Rattus norvegicus: one gene and its partners. The protein of the gene in region 4 binds, or shares a complex with, the protein of the main gene of each other region. Links are inferred from orthologs where the notes say so. Each region holds a gene or a part of one and is shown on either strand. Other genes may lie near its edges.

Evidence for each region.
Region 1: the proteins of Asf1a (region 4) and H3f4 are in contact, whole or in part, in a crystal structure (PDB 8Z50), measured with the Homo sapiens proteins. The link is inferred for Rattus norvegicus from reciprocal best matches to the Homo sapiens genes ASF1A and H3-4. Residues at the interface, in NP_054753.1 of Homo sapiens: Val45, Ala48, Glu49, Glu51, Asp54, Val92, Thr93, Val94, Leu96, Arg108, Gly110, Tyr111, Tyr112, Asn114, Glu116, Leu140, Asn143, Arg145, Thr147, Phe149; in NP_003484.1 of Homo sapiens: Asp107, Leu110, Cys111, His114, Lys123, Gln126, Leu127, Ala128, Arg130, Ile131, Arg132, Gly133.
Region 2: the proteins of Asf1a (region 4) and Cdan1 are in contact, whole or in part, in a cryo-EM structure (PDB 9CVC), measured with the Homo sapiens proteins. The link is inferred for Rattus norvegicus from reciprocal best matches to the Homo sapiens genes ASF1A and CDAN1. Residues at the interface, in NP_054753.1 of Homo sapiens: Gln5, Val6, Asn7, Asn8, Val9, Val10, Val11, Leu12, Asp13, Pro15, Asn20, Pro21, Phe28, Asp37, Val45, Ser47, Ala48, Glu49, Ser50, Glu51, Glu52, Asp54, Asp58, Ser59, Val60, Leu61, Val62, Gly63, Pro64, Val65; in NP_612486.2 of Homo sapiens: Arg195, Arg196, Ile197, Asn198, Thr200, Val202, Lys390, Leu391, His470, Glu471, Glu472, Pro473, Gly474, Trp475, Asp476, Lys538, Arg541, Arg544, Leu545, Gln546, Arg548, Leu549, Met550, Ala551, Pro552, Gln553, Ser554, Ser555, Arg806, Lys807.
Region 3: the proteins of Asf1a (region 4) and Tlk2 are in contact, whole or in part, in a crystal structure (PDB 7LO0), measured with the Homo sapiens proteins. The link is inferred for Rattus norvegicus from reciprocal best matches to the Homo sapiens genes ASF1A and TLK2. Residues at the interface, in NP_054753.1 of Homo sapiens: Val45, Ala48, Glu49, Glu51, Asp54, Asp88, Val92, Thr93, Val94, Leu96, Arg108, Gly110, Tyr111, Tyr112, Arg145, Thr147, Phe149; in NP_001271262.1 of Homo sapiens: Arg11, Arg12, Gln13, Leu15, Leu16, Glu17, Arg19, Phe20, Thr21, Gly22, Val23.

What each region holds. Positions count from the first base shown.
Region 1 is NC_086028.1:44,238,907-44,241,721, forward strand, and holds H3f4 (H3.4 histone), read left to right. Parts: upstream 1-1,375; 5' UTR 1,376-1,470; coding exon 1,471-1,881; 3' UTR 1,882-1,936; downstream 1,937-2,815. UniProt on the Homo sapiens protein: Core component of nucleosome. Nucleosomes wrap and compact DNA into chromatin, limiting DNA accessibility to the cellular machineries which require DNA as a template.
Region 2 is NC_086021.1:128,128,767-128,131,538, reverse strand, and holds the end of Cdan1 (codanin-1), read left to right. Parts: exon of another isoform or gene 1-387; coding exon 388-495; exon of another isoform or gene 496-1,111; coding exon 1,112-1,237; 3' UTR 1,238-1,875; downstream 1,876-2,772. UniProt on the Homo sapiens protein: May act as a negative regulator of ASF1 in chromatin assembly.
Region 3 is NC_086028.1:90,732,904-90,736,996, reverse strand, and holds part of Tlk2 (serine/threonine-protein kinase tousled-like 2), read right to left. Parts: intron 3,335-4,093; coding exon 3,245-3,334; intron 890-3,244; coding exon 720-889; intron 1-719. UniProt on the Homo sapiens protein: Serine/threonine-protein kinase involved in the process of chromatin assembly and probably also DNA replication, transcription, repair, and chromosome segregation. Phosphorylates the chromatin assembly factors ASF1A and ASF1B.
Region 4 is NC_086038.1:33,439,224-33,443,316, forward strand, and holds part of Asf1a (histone chaperone ASF1A), read left to right. Parts: intron 1-2,833; coding exon 2,834-2,949; intron 2,950-4,093. UniProt on the Homo sapiens protein: Histone chaperone that facilitates histone deposition and histone exchange and removal during nucleosome assembly and disassembly.

The DNA of each region.
Region 1 (2,815 bases), on a different chromosome or scaffold from region 4:
GTAGCGCCTCCCCGCGACCGCACCCCTGGGCTCTGTTTAAACTACACGTATATGTTTAGAAGCAAAACACCATGATTGTCAGTGCATTCTGTTTTGTTTTGTTTTTTAAACCAAGTCCGTAAGGATGCACCGCAGTTTGATTTCTTTCCTTTACTGGACTCACGTTTTTGAAATTATGTGGATGACCTCTGAATTATGTGGATGACCTCTGACGTGGTCTAAGTAACTAACCATTATTACTATTGTTTGATGTCCAGATTGTGACCTTTGGGAGATCCTTGAATACAACCCATGCCATCCTTAAAATCTTTGCTTCAGAAATCTTTTATGATTTTTTTCAGATCTAAAGGTGCTTTATTTTGTTTGATAAAGTGTACACTAAGCCTCAAAATTGTTATCTTTCTGTTCAGCCACCGAGTGCTGAGGTTATAAGCATGGGCCACTGTCCTTTGAGTCATTTCTTTCTTTCAGATTTTTTTTATTAATGCATGTTAACTGTGCTTAGTAATGGCTTTCATTTTGATAACTTTACACACACAATCTTTGTTCATATCTGCACACACATCAGCTCTCCCCTTTTCCCTCTTCCCTCTGGTCACCTTTCTCTCCATAAGTACCCATCCCCATTTTTATGATTAAAAAAAAAAATCTAGCTTCCACATGCTAGAGAACCCATGCCATGCATTTCTTCCTGGATCCGGCTTACTTAACTCTGTGATCTTGAGTTCTTCCCATTTTTCCGGCAAATAACATTTTATTTTTTCATTTTTCTTTTATTGAACTTTTCTAATTCTACCCCCCCATTTTAAAAAAAAGTGCTTTAATATGTAACCCCAGTTAGCCTCAAACACACAGATATACACCGTTCTCTGCCTCCCAAGTCCTAGAATTAAGCTTAACTTCCGAGCTACCTCCCTCCAGCCCTCACCCATGTCCACGCCACCCCAGGGGTGTCCTTAAACCAGGTGGGGTTTTTTTGTTTGTTTGGTTGGTTGTTTGTTTGGTTGGTTGATTGGGGGTTTTGGGGGGGGGTGTTCTTGTTTTAGTATTCCAGAACTCAGGAAAACTATGCCTTGCTGCAGAAAGGTTCTAGAATGTTCTTTGTGTCTTGGGGTCGAGGCAATGTTGGGTTTTTTTTGTTTGTTTGTTTGGTTTTTTGTTTTTTTGTCTGTTTGGGTTTTATTTCTTTAAACAACAACAACAACAAAAGGCTCTGAGAAAACAACTTGAGTTTTTCTACAGTCCCCACTGCATTCCTACCGAGCCTCAACTAACGGCTCTGGAAGCCACACCGCTCAGAGAGAATGTAAGAGGCAGGGTGTAAAGTAGAGACCCCAGTAGACCAATCAGAGTGCAGCATCCCATAATGCCACCTGGCGGGCAACCAATAGGAATGCAGCTGGGTCTATAAAAGCTGCGGTGCTCGCCACCCTCTGCACCTGAGGAGAGGAGGGAATACGGCCCAGGAAGATGGCACGCACCAAGCAGACAGCACGGAAGTCGACGGGAGGCAAGGCTCCACGCAAGCAGCTAGCCACGAAGGTGGCACGCAAGAGCGCTCCAGCCACCGGCGGCGTGAAGAAGCCGCACCGCTACCACCCTGGTACTGTGGCATTGCGAGAGATCCGGCGCTACCAGAAATCCACCGAGCTGTTGATCCGCAAGCTACCGTTCCAGCGCTTGGTCCGTGAAATCGCCCAGGACTTCAAGACCGACTTGCGCTTCCAGAGCTCGGCTGTAATGGCGCTGCAGGAGGCCTGCGAGTCGTACCTCGTGGGGCTCTTCGAGGACACGAACCTGTGCGCTATCCATGCCAAGCGGGTTACCATCATGCCCAAAGACATCCAGTTGGCTCGGCGCATACGCGGAGAACGGGCTTAGACCTCCACAGGCACTGCTCATCAACCAACCCAACGGCTCTTTTCAGAGCCACCCACAGATTCGGAAAACAGTGTTGTAACCAAGATTTCTTTGATCTCCTTCACTTCTGGAGATCAAGACACAGTGGCTGGGGATCCAAGTGGCTTCCCAGGGATAGGGTTAGCGAGGTCAGCAGCTGATCCTTGCCCTGTGGGCTGTTCAGCTTAAAGTACATCCCATTCTAACCTGCCTTCTCTTAACAGGTATCGTGGCCTGAGCCTTTGTAGTGCAACGTTAATAGCTGTATTGGTGACTGTCCTTGTCCAATGAAGGCAGGAGCCCAGCTCCTACGGGTAGTAAACATACTGTCACAACTATAGTGTTCGCATGGTGGATAGTACCCAAATGCGTCCACAACAGTTATCAATCAAGTAAGTTTTGTTAATTGCCTAGTGTTTTGAGTCAGATTTGGCCTGAAGTTAAAAAGGCTAGCTGTTCCTGTGCCTTAAAAGTTAACTTTGCCCGTCTGTTACAGCGGTGGCAGAAGTCAGGGAAATGCTAACTTACATAATTCCAGGGGACACATCCAGAAAATTCTGTATTAGAGGATTCCTGTAGGGTAGGAAAGCCCAGCTATTGTATTGACTCAACCTGATTGGTAAGCAATAGGAACCTCTTATCAAGAGGATGTTTTGCCCTGTAGTTTAATTCTCTGGGTGTTAGTATATTGTCCCTACAAAGAGCTGGTGGTGTTCTGAGATGACAGGCATGGAGACTAACCTGCTTGCTTACTCAGAAATCAAACTGAGAGCCTGGTTAGCTGAACTGTATAGTAGAGGGCTGAGGGGGAATAGCCTGAATGTGGCTGTGAAGTTAATACAGAAAACTTTACTTCTGCTACATAGTGGAATCACTTATTAATGGCTTTGTTAAATACATAGCCAAGTACTGCCTA
Region 2 (2,772 bases), on a different chromosome or scaffold from region 4:
TCTGATTATAGGTGGTTGTGAGCCACCATGTGTTGCTGGGAATTGAACTCAAAACCTCTGGAAGAGCAGACAGTATTTTTAACCTCTGAGCCATCTCTCCATCCCAAAACATTATTTCTCTGTGTAGCCAGAACTCTCTCTATATAGCTGGAACTTACTCTGTAGACCTGGCTGACCTGAGATCCTCTACCCCTGCACCTCTGCCTCTGCCTCCTGAGTGTTGAATTGCTTTTAACAGCATGTTGAGCCATTATCTCCAACTCTGTTATCTCCAGCTCTGTCCTTCGAGATGTCTACTCTTGGGACTACTGTACAGTCCTCAGTCTCTACTGTTAGGACTACTATATGATCCTGACAACTTTTGACTTTCTCTGTGGTGTTTTGCAGTGGGACCTGCTACTGTTCTTACTCCGGGAGCTGGTAGAAAAGGATCTCATGGGGCATTTGGAAATAGAAGCCTGCTTAGTCAGCCTTAATGAAGCCCAGTGGCCAGGGGTAAGGAATCTTAATGTTAATCCCTTTGTCTTGAAGATATGTCTCATTTGTCCTAAAGATTGCTTTTGTAGCCCACAAACCACAAACTTGCATTCTTTCTACTTGCTGGGAATGAGATTCTAACTGTGAGCCCACCATAGCTACAGCTATGTGCCTTTTTGCCAAAGTGTTTCCAGGACTACCACGAGACCATGTATTGGGTTTGATCTAAGTGACTACTTTGTAAGACTCTCAGAAGAACAGAGGGAAAGGAGGACAATTAGAAATAGGCATGGCACAGTGAATATTGGGGATTTGAAACTCAAGTAAATGTTGGCTTATATTTAAAATGCTCTTGTGATTTAGAGCAAAATAGTGCTGTTAAAATAAGATTAATACTTTGTGCTTGAAAATGTTAAAGCCTCTGCTTCTTAATAGAGTCCACTTTCCCTGCTGGAACTTAATGCCTCAGTTTACCAGCCATGGAGGTTTATATCCATTTCTGCAGAGAAGACATTAGATGAAATAGCTGGGTTATCAGTGTTTCACTGGCTGTGAGTGATTATTCGGGTGGGACTGACCTTAGAAAGGACAGAACATCCAGAATTACTTTTCTTAACCTTTCTACTTACTTTAGGACTTCTCAGAAGAATTGTCAACACTATTTCGCTTGTTCCTAGCTGAGCCCCATCTGCTAGAACCCCAGCTGAGAGCTTGTGAACTTATGCAACCAAATCGAGGGACAGTGCTAGCCCAAAGCTAGGGCTGGGAAGCAGCCCTCTTGGGCAAGTCACCAGAACCTGCCTCCTGAGCCTCAGGAGGAGGCTCAAGAACCCACTGCACGCCCTGCTGGGGCAAGAGTGTCCAGGTGTGTAATCGGGCTTGCTGCTCTGCTCCTAAGTGAAGGAAGTGTGTTGCTTCAAGCATCCAGATGCAGGCCTCAACACCTGAGATCTAGAGGAAGGAGAACCTGATTCAGAGTCACAGTGGAAAAGCCCAGAGACTCTAACCTTGGAGCAAAAGGGCTAGCATTTCTAATCCAGATGCTAAAAGAAATGCGTGTGCTGATCAATGTTATTTCGAGCCTCAAGTTGCTGCTATCCCAGCATCTCTTGAAACTTTGTGGTTCTGAGAAATCTTAATAGGCAAAGAACTTCTGCTTATGAGAACATTGACAAAACATTTTCTTGAGTCCAGAAGCTGGACTGTCACCCCTACCCCCAAATATTGGCAGCCAATAAGGTAGGAATCACCTAAGTGGAACTTGGTCTCATATGGACCTTCGCCTCTTTGCAGGGAGTTAGTCAGACTAAGCCTGGTATAGAAAATTTAAGGGGCTTGGGTTTGTTTTTTTTTTTTTTTTTTTTTTTTAAATAAAATTTCTAACAAGGTCTTGATGGCTATTCTCCCCTCTGAAGTGGGCTTTGTGCATTGCAGTGTGTGCTTCTTCACGGTGTCTGCATTCTGTCAGTCTGAGAGACACAATCTGCTACTCTCCATGTGCTCCCTGCTGTCTATGCCGACCCACATGGCAGGTAGCTTTGGTGATATTTGTACTGTAGGCACTGGGATGTCTGATTTAACTCAAAACTTCTGACCAAAAGCAGTCTTCTGGGTTATAGTTAGCAAGACCTCATTTCTATAAATGGGGTGACGTTTTTATTATACTCAGAGTGTCTGCACTCAAGTGCTATGGCGCACTTCTGGAAGTTGAAGGACAACTTGCTGGAGTCAGTTCTCATTTTACCATGTGGATCCAGGGCTCAAATTCAGGTCACTGGGCTTAGCCTTCAGCTATTTTGACAGCCCCTGTAACCAGCTGATTTTTAAGGGGGTTTTGTTTTGTTTATCAACACAGGGTTTCTCTTTGTAACCCTGGCTGTCCTGGAACTCACTCTATATACCAGGATTGCCTTAAACTCATAGAGCTCTGCCTGCCTCTACCTTCCAAGTTCTGGGATTGAAGGCATGTGCCCAAAGATGACAGTATTTTGAAAATGTGATATATCCCTGTAAAACTATTTTTCTGTTTGTTTGTTTTGGTAGTAAGCCTCAGGCTTTAGTGGAAGGATCAGAATGTGCTCAGTAATGACTCCTGAAGTTAACTGCAAAATCTTTTCAGCTGGCAAAATGGTTTTTGACCTGAGGAAAGTTAAGTTTCTCTAAACTTACACTCCAGTGCTATTTAATTCTAGTGTATGCCTCTTCTTCCTTCCCCTAAGTCCTTTTCCAAATCTAGGATTGGGCCCAGGGGCCTTGACTCATCGTTAACGACAACCTACTCAGTTCTGTCAATGC
Region 3 (4,093 bases), on a different chromosome or scaffold from region 4:
ATGAAAAAAAAAATGGTGGGAAAATTTCACATGAACTTTCAGTGTGCTCTCTATGCTAGCCAGCCTAGAACAGCAATTTCAGGAAGGTGGGGGTGGGGGAGATCTAAAGAAAGCATTCTGGGAATCAAAAGTGGTGCCACAGCGCCACCTACAACAGGAAAGTGTAGTGACTTTAGAAACAGACCAGTGAGTGGTCACAGCCAACAGAAGAGGAAGGCCAAGCTACAGCTCCACAGAAAAGAAGATGACAAGCACACACATTTAAACAAACTAAAAGCCACCTAACAAAAACAAAAGGTAAGGAGGAAAAAGCTTCTTGCCTTTTCCTGATGCCTACCAAGCTAAATGATAATTATATAAAACTGCTCAGGTCTTGAGGAAATGAGGCATATGTGTACTTATCAGGGAGACCTGAGATAAACTACTGCATATGCGAATAATGGGACAAAGCCAAAATGGAACTTGCCAAAACAGTTGTCCCTAAATGACATCATTCATGTTCCTTGTTCAACACACAAAGGTACTGTTTCTCCAGAGAATTTCATCTAACTCATTCACCCACCCACCTATCCACCCACCCCCAGCACCAGGCAGCCCAGGACTCCTTTCTTCTCACTCCTGCCCAGGCATCCACAGTGATGTACTGTTGGGTCTTCATAGCTCCTGTCAAATTCTTAACAAACTTAAAGGTCACTTAAAAGACACAAAGTCAGCCATACCTGGTTTGAGGTCATAGTGTATGATGGGAGGTTTTATTTCATTTAAGTACTTTAAAGCATTCACAATCTGCATAATAATGGATCGGGCTTCTTTCTCCGACATTAATTTGTGCTGCTTTAGGTAGAAGTCCAGATCATTTCCTTCACAGTATTCTAATACTGTACAAAACCTGAAGACACATAAACCAGCATTTAACAGTGGAGTAGAAAGCAGATTAAAACTATCTAAACCACTCTCAGTGAAAACTCAGGTATTACAGCTTCTATTCCTTTCTTCTTTGTTCCCAAAACACTCTTCTATTCTGCATCAGCCGCCAAAGCTTATAGGAGGTGAGGTAACTGCTCTCTTGGAGATGAGCTTCTGCAATCTCCATACTGGCATCAACTGTGCCAAAGTTCACTATGGCATAGTTCTTCTAAGAACACTGACAAGAACTATAATGTGTGAGCTAGCCATCCTCTTATAGCAGGGTCTCCTTTGAATACCCTTAGCACATGTCCATTATTATACAGTGATCAATCACACGATTATCCTTGCATGTGTCTATTAAAACCGAATGCATACACTAAGGAAGAGTCTAGGTTCTGCCCATGTCTCAAGAACTGGTTGTATACTATGTCTGGCAAAAGGTTACACAAATGTGTTCCATATGGTATGAATTCTTTTACTCATATTTATGTCAATATATCATTCATTCCCCATTTAAAACTGCACACCATTGTTGGTACTACAAGTAACGCATCTATCCCCCCGACTATTCAAATTGATGTTTCCTTGTATTTTTTGAATATTCCTGAGAGATAAAAATACTTTAAAAAATATTTTTAGGTTATGGTTTCTCAGTCAGGACTTAACCAGGGAATAAAAACCACTTGAATATTGAAGACAGAGGCTTTGATTCGTATGCTGAAGATCTAAAAGGACAAACTGTCCAGTAAGACACCCTAGTGACCAGTTACAGCAGGAAGCTGTTAGCAGCTTAAAACCAGAGGGTCAGAGGATGAAGGTGGTGCTATGAGAAATCAGGTCACAAGGGAAACCAGAGCTGTGTGCATACCCACTAGGTCAACCCAGCTGAACACCCACTGACAAGGCTTACCAGAGATGCCTCCCAATGCAGTGGAATGAGGGGTAGCGGTGAGCAGCTATAAGCTGAACTTCAAGCCACCCTGCAACTGACTACAAAAACACACTTGCAGAATCTCAGGACTGAACAATAAACTATACTTTTTATGACACCTAAAAGGCATGCCAATGCTCTGGGAGCCTGTTCAAAATGCTCATTCTTATCTGAGATGCTGAAATGAGTCAGACCCTCTTCTTGGATACATGTCTACACATGGGCTGCTTGTCTGAGAGAGCTTCCAGGTGGATAGACCAAACTCCTGGACATCCTTTGGAGACTGAGGTACCATCTACAGGCCAGGCCTAAGGGATCTTATGCTCTTCTGACTCAGGCCTATCTGCAACTAAAAGTTTCCAAACACTGAAATATCCCTAAGCCCCGAATAAACCCAAATGCGCTGCAGTTTACTGAGTTTTGGTATCAAGAGGACCAAAATCTCACACAAATAATTTTGTTTTTCTGATACTCCAAAAGGCTGAACCCTAAGACCCCCTCCCAATTCTAAAATCCTATTGCCCAGGAACCTGTATTCCAACCTGCAGCACTGGGCTCTCTTTACTTTTGTCACGTAAACCTTCCTGCTTTAGGACACTGTGGTACTTAAGGCTGGCTGGGCTCCTCAGTCTCCAGAGTGGGGCTGAGGCTCTCTTCAACAGTCTATACTCACGATCACTAGGCCTGCTAGTGCCATGACAGCACCAGCCTGAACCAGTTCCTAGGTAAGGACTGACTGCTACGCTTTCAGGAACACTGTGAGCTGGGCTAGACAACTCTATGTAAGACTAAGAAGAATTGATAAATCTGGCTGTAAGAAGGGATAAACAAATAAGGACAACAGACACACACATGGATGGATAAGCATCATGTTAACTGAAATAAATCAGTTACAAAGGACCACATACTACATGATTCCACATGTGAGACTGTTCCCAACACCATTTCTAAGGTTACAGATAGCAGTGTCTGCTTAAACAGAGGGAGAGTAAAATGGAGAAGTGACAGTAAAAAGGTTCAGGTTTCTTCTGAGAGTGAAAACGTCAAAATGATTTTGGATAATGTCCATATAGATCTGTGACACACATGAAAACCCACTCAATTGTGATGGATGAATCTTATGGTATATAAATTAGAATAAAGTTCGCTAATTTTTTAAGTTGGTATCTTAACATTGGACATAATGGAAATATTTATGCCACAAATACTGACAATCACCTTAACTTTCTGTCAAGACAGTTTTTACCAGCATACAAGTGTCCTTATCCTTTAGTCAAGAGATGTCTGGCTGATCCAAATCTGAATTGTTATAAATATTTGCCTGTAAATTATCAGATCTAAGCTCCAGTCCACAAGGATTCATTATGTCAAGAAGATAAAGTAAGGGGAAGGGGTGGGACTTACGAGTCAGTGTCCAGTGAAAAGTAATCATACAGCTTCACTATTCTGGGGTGATCCAGTTCTTTGTGAATCCGGTATTCCCTACACGCATGCCTGTAAACACAATGGAAGCGTAAAAAGCAAGCATTGGCCTGCTGGTCAGAACTTACCCTCACTTCTCTAGCACTTCCCACTCCCACAGGTCCACTCTTTGCTCCATTTAGAGGCATCTGGTCAACCCACCTAATCACTCTCATCAGTCTACTTCCACTCATCTTTTCTATCTATTGCCACTGAGAAAGTAGTAGGTGCTCAAATATTTTTTTTTAAAAAGTATTTTCTTTTACATTTACTTATTTTATGTATGTGAGTACACTGTTACTCTCTTCAGACACACCAGAAGAGCGTATGGGATTCCATTACAGATGGTTGTGAGCCACCATGTGGTTCCCATGTGCTGGGAATGAACTCAGGGCCTCTGAAAGAGTAAGTAGTCCATGTGCTTATTAATCTCTGAGCCTCACTCCAGCCCTCAAATATTTCTTAAATGAACGGATGCCAACTCTTCTGTGACAACCACACCTCTTTTATGCTAATCCCCAACACTAAAAATTAGTCTTCTCTCCTATAGTGATGCTTCCAAGGACTGGGGAGATGGTATAATGACTAAGTGCTTGCTTGCTATGCAAGCATGGGGATCAGAACATGGACCCCAGCACCTCTGAAAATTCTGAGTGGGCATGGTAGTCCATCTGTATAGCAGCTTGGGAAGATGGTCACAAGTTCTGGGACCGACTGAGACCCTGTCCCTAAGGTGGACGAGTGGTGAAGGATTACTGACATTGGCTTCTACCTCCAAAGTGCTGCAATTAC
Region 4 (4,093 bases):
TCTACTAGGCCACAGAGTTTCCCAATAATTAGTTAACTGACAGTTTCCTCGGTAGCATCCCTCCGGCCACACGTGGAGATACTTTCTGCCTGGGATTACCACGGTTAAATGGAAAAGCTAATTTTCAAAATAAATAAATAATTTTCAGCTCATAACTCTAGTAGTGAAACTGCTTGATAAATAAGCATTCCATCACATTCAGACCCAATGTGTGCCTGTTCCTGAGCCTCAGTTTGTTCTTCTTAAGGTTAGATTACCTCACTCTCCGTTACCTGTCTTTACCCACTCTCTCCTATCTTTTTTAAACTCATTACTTGAAAGCTGGAAGGCCAAGGCTTAAAAGCCCAAGCTTTTGAGTAGCAGCAACCCAGCTTTAATTATGGTTCTGATTTGTAAGCTTGTGAATTTTAGATCACTTAGCTTCTCCACCTTTCAGCTTTGCTTGTATTAGTGTGAGCACGCATGCACATGGACAGAGAGTATATATGTGCTTGAGTAATTCTATCTGTATGATGAAGCGTTTACCTCAGGTCAGTCAGTAGCTCTCATATGCCCTTCTCCTTAGCAGGATATCCACCTGGCTTTGCATTAATTACTTCCTTCATTGGGCCTGGCTTTCTAAACTACTGATTCATTCTCTTCCTGACCTGTCAACACTGGTGTTGACTAAGACTCATTTTACTCCTAGGAATCCCATCCTTGTCCTTGTTATTATGCATTATTGCCAAATTTCAATTCTTAAAAATTTGATTTTTGTGTGTTTATACTTAAACAACTAATAGGCATCTTAGACATGTATAAAACTTAACTCCTGATTTTCTTCTTTACACTGACACCCCCCCCCCCCCGCCCCCAAGTGGCTACTGTTGCTTCCATTTTCAAACTTTATCTGGGATGTGAATGCTTTACACCAGTCCCATGGCCACCACAACTCACCCATGCACTGTACTGTTTCTGTAGTGAACCACTGAACCAATCTCTTGTTCCCCTGTCCCCCCACAGCTTACACAAAACACAGCAAGTAAAATGATCCTTTAAGATAAAAGGAGGGTTCTGTCACTTTGTTTAAAACCTTCAGGGCAGTGGTTCTGACTTGTGAGCATAACTCCCAGAAGACTACTGGAAAACACCGATGTTTATATTACAATTCACTTGCTACATAACAGTAGCAAAATTGCAGTTATGAAGAAGCAACAAAATAATTTTATGGTCGGATAGTCACCAAACCTTGACAAACTGTTATTACAGGGTCACAGTATTAGCAAGGTTGAAAAACTGCAGCTGCAGGGCTGGGGCTGTAGCTCAGTGATAAAGTGGGTGCCTAGAACGTGTGAAAGTTCTGGGTTTGATGCCCAGCACAGCAAAATGGTGCTAGAAGTGTTAGGCCAAAATCCTTAATGGTGGGCATTAGGCCTTGTATGATGTGGCTGTGTTGCTCTCTATCATAAACTCAGGATTTGGTAACTTCTCTGTTCCAAAAATCCCAGCCTCTTGGCTAATCCTTGAACACATCAAATTGGTTTTTTACATTTGTGGCTGTTCTACTGTTCTTTCTGGTCAGAAAATATTATTGTCTCTTCCTAGATCCAACAAGTAAGTGCTGTGATAAGACGCCAAATGCAGAACCCTGAATCTGGAAATGTACTGAAAGCTGAAAATACAAACAGCCTTAGTCTGTGGCCCAGCCAGGACCTAATAGTAACTGCTGGCTTTTAAAACATTACAAATAACAAGGAAGTTGCAATTGAAAAAGTTTCAGTTTGCAAGTATAGTATGATTCAAAGAAGTTCCCAATACTCTTCCAAATTTAGGAGATACCCACATGGGCACACACAAGAATGGATTTGTTGATGCCTTCCAGAGTGAACCAGAGATTCAACCCCTTGGGAGTGCTTAGTATAGTCTCTCTGTAATGAAGCCAAGCACAGACCACATTACAGGAGATTGTCACCTTCCTCCTAGGTTTAAAGAGCAGATTCTCAGATTCCTTCAAAGAGCAATGGTTTTAATCCTCTCAATTCTTATAGAGAATTTTCTACAAGGGTGCTTAATGAAATCTAGGTTAAATTACAAGGCAAATCTTAGGTTAGGTTTGCTTGAGTGTATCGTGTCTCTGCCTGTATGCTATATAAATACTCTGCTCTATGAAGAGTTTTGTGGTTTTAAGAATGTATGGTAGAAAAGAGTATCAGGAGTAAGCAGCCCCACTGTCTGGTTGGTATCTGATTGGCATAGTTGGTAATACAATGTAAGTACAAGTTAGTAACACAGTTATTCTGTTAGCTAGTAAGAGTGATGAGGTAACAGATTGACGAATTCATGTCAGGAGATGAGCTGAAACTTCTGAACCACAAGGAAGGTTTGCTAATGATTTTTCCATTTTAGATTTTGTGATGATTTCTGTTTCATAAGGCGGCTTTTCTACAGCAGTGAAGTTAAAAATGGAGCACAAAAAGAGGCTGGGGGAATTGCAGAGTACATGAGCTTGGACAATGGGATTCCCCTTGTTCTTTACTAAAGGAGGTCTCCAGAGCTTACTGTGCCATTTTGCTTTATGAGTACCTGTGGCAAACGTTTAGGGTTTCCCCAACTTTTTTCACGTTTTACTTGTGAGGAACACCCTCCAGGGACCAGTGCTTTATGAAAGAGAATTAATTTGGAGAAGTTAATGGAATGAAATATGAATTATGGTGAGAGAGAAATACCTAAGTAACATTTCCTTATCTCCTTGGTCAAAAAACCATTTAGCCCTTCAGTGGTCAACAGAAGGGACTTTATCATGGGAATATATAATTGCTGCCATGAAATAATGGTTTTGGTTATTTTACCCTAGACTTGGAGTGGAAAATTATCTACGTGGGCTCTGCTGAAAGTGAAGAATACGATCAAGTTTTAGACTCTGTGTTAGTGGGTCCTGTTCCTGCAGGCAGGCATATGTTTGTGTTTCAGGTAAGACTGATTTCCATATATGAATACAGAGGATTCATATTGGAGTATATTCAGGGGTGTCATTGAGATTACTTTTGGGAACTAGACAGACTACAAGTATGCTGTGTGTACAAGGTTGAGTTTGTCCTGTGGGACTGTCTTTCAGGATGAAAGTATCCCCAAACACATTCAAATGGTGCTCTGGTCAGCACCATGCATGCATCTGCGGGTGGGATAGAACAACCTTATTTTGGTAGAGTCAGCAACTGCAAGGCGAAGAAATGTGTTAGCAGATAGAGACGTATGACTTGAGCCATTGGAATGACAGTCTAACACTTCACTAAAGCTTTAGTCTAGGTTTGATAGAGGAGCACTGGGACAAATCCATCCCCCGTTAGAGCTTGTGAGGAGAAACACTCTTAGTGTAAATCCTGTTCTCAGATGCCTCGGACAGTGTTCAGGACTTTGCCCAAGCTTTAGACAGTATCTTTTGTGAAAGAGTGTTATTTCTCCTGCTTTATTAAGTTGCTACATAAAACTAGTCATGTTTTCAATTATCCATGCTTCTTAGAGGGAGATATTTGTAATACTGCAAGGAGTAATAAGCTAGCTTTTAATTTTTGTTCGAAGTATTTCTGCCTAACCAAATCTTACTGCAGGCATAATCCAAGAGAAAAGTCTACTTCTTCCTGCACCTGGCCTCTGTTTCTCCCTTCACAGAGAGGACAATTTCAATGAATCCTCTCTTTGAAATAATTCCGGGGGTTGGGGATTTAGCTCAGTGGTAGAGCGCTTGCCTAGCATGCGCAAGGCCCTGAGTTCGGTCCCCAGCTCCGAAAAAAAAAAAAAAAAAAAAAAAAAAGAAACAATTCCCTTAGTAATGGGCAAGGAGTTGCTTAAGTGTTAGAGATGCCGCCTCTTAAATACAGAACTGAATCTGGCCTGAATGTTTTCTATTAGGAAACCCCAAATAACTTATTGTATATAAATAAATGGCTAAGAAAGGCTCAGCATCAGTAATTTAAAGGCTGTGATACTTTAATTAAAAGTGTCATGAAACTGAGTTGTGAGTGTGCATAGCCTTGTGAGAGCCATAGCAACACAACACAGCTGCCTAAGGAAGCCCTGCAGTCTTAGGCAGGCCTGGTGCCTCTGCTCACTACGA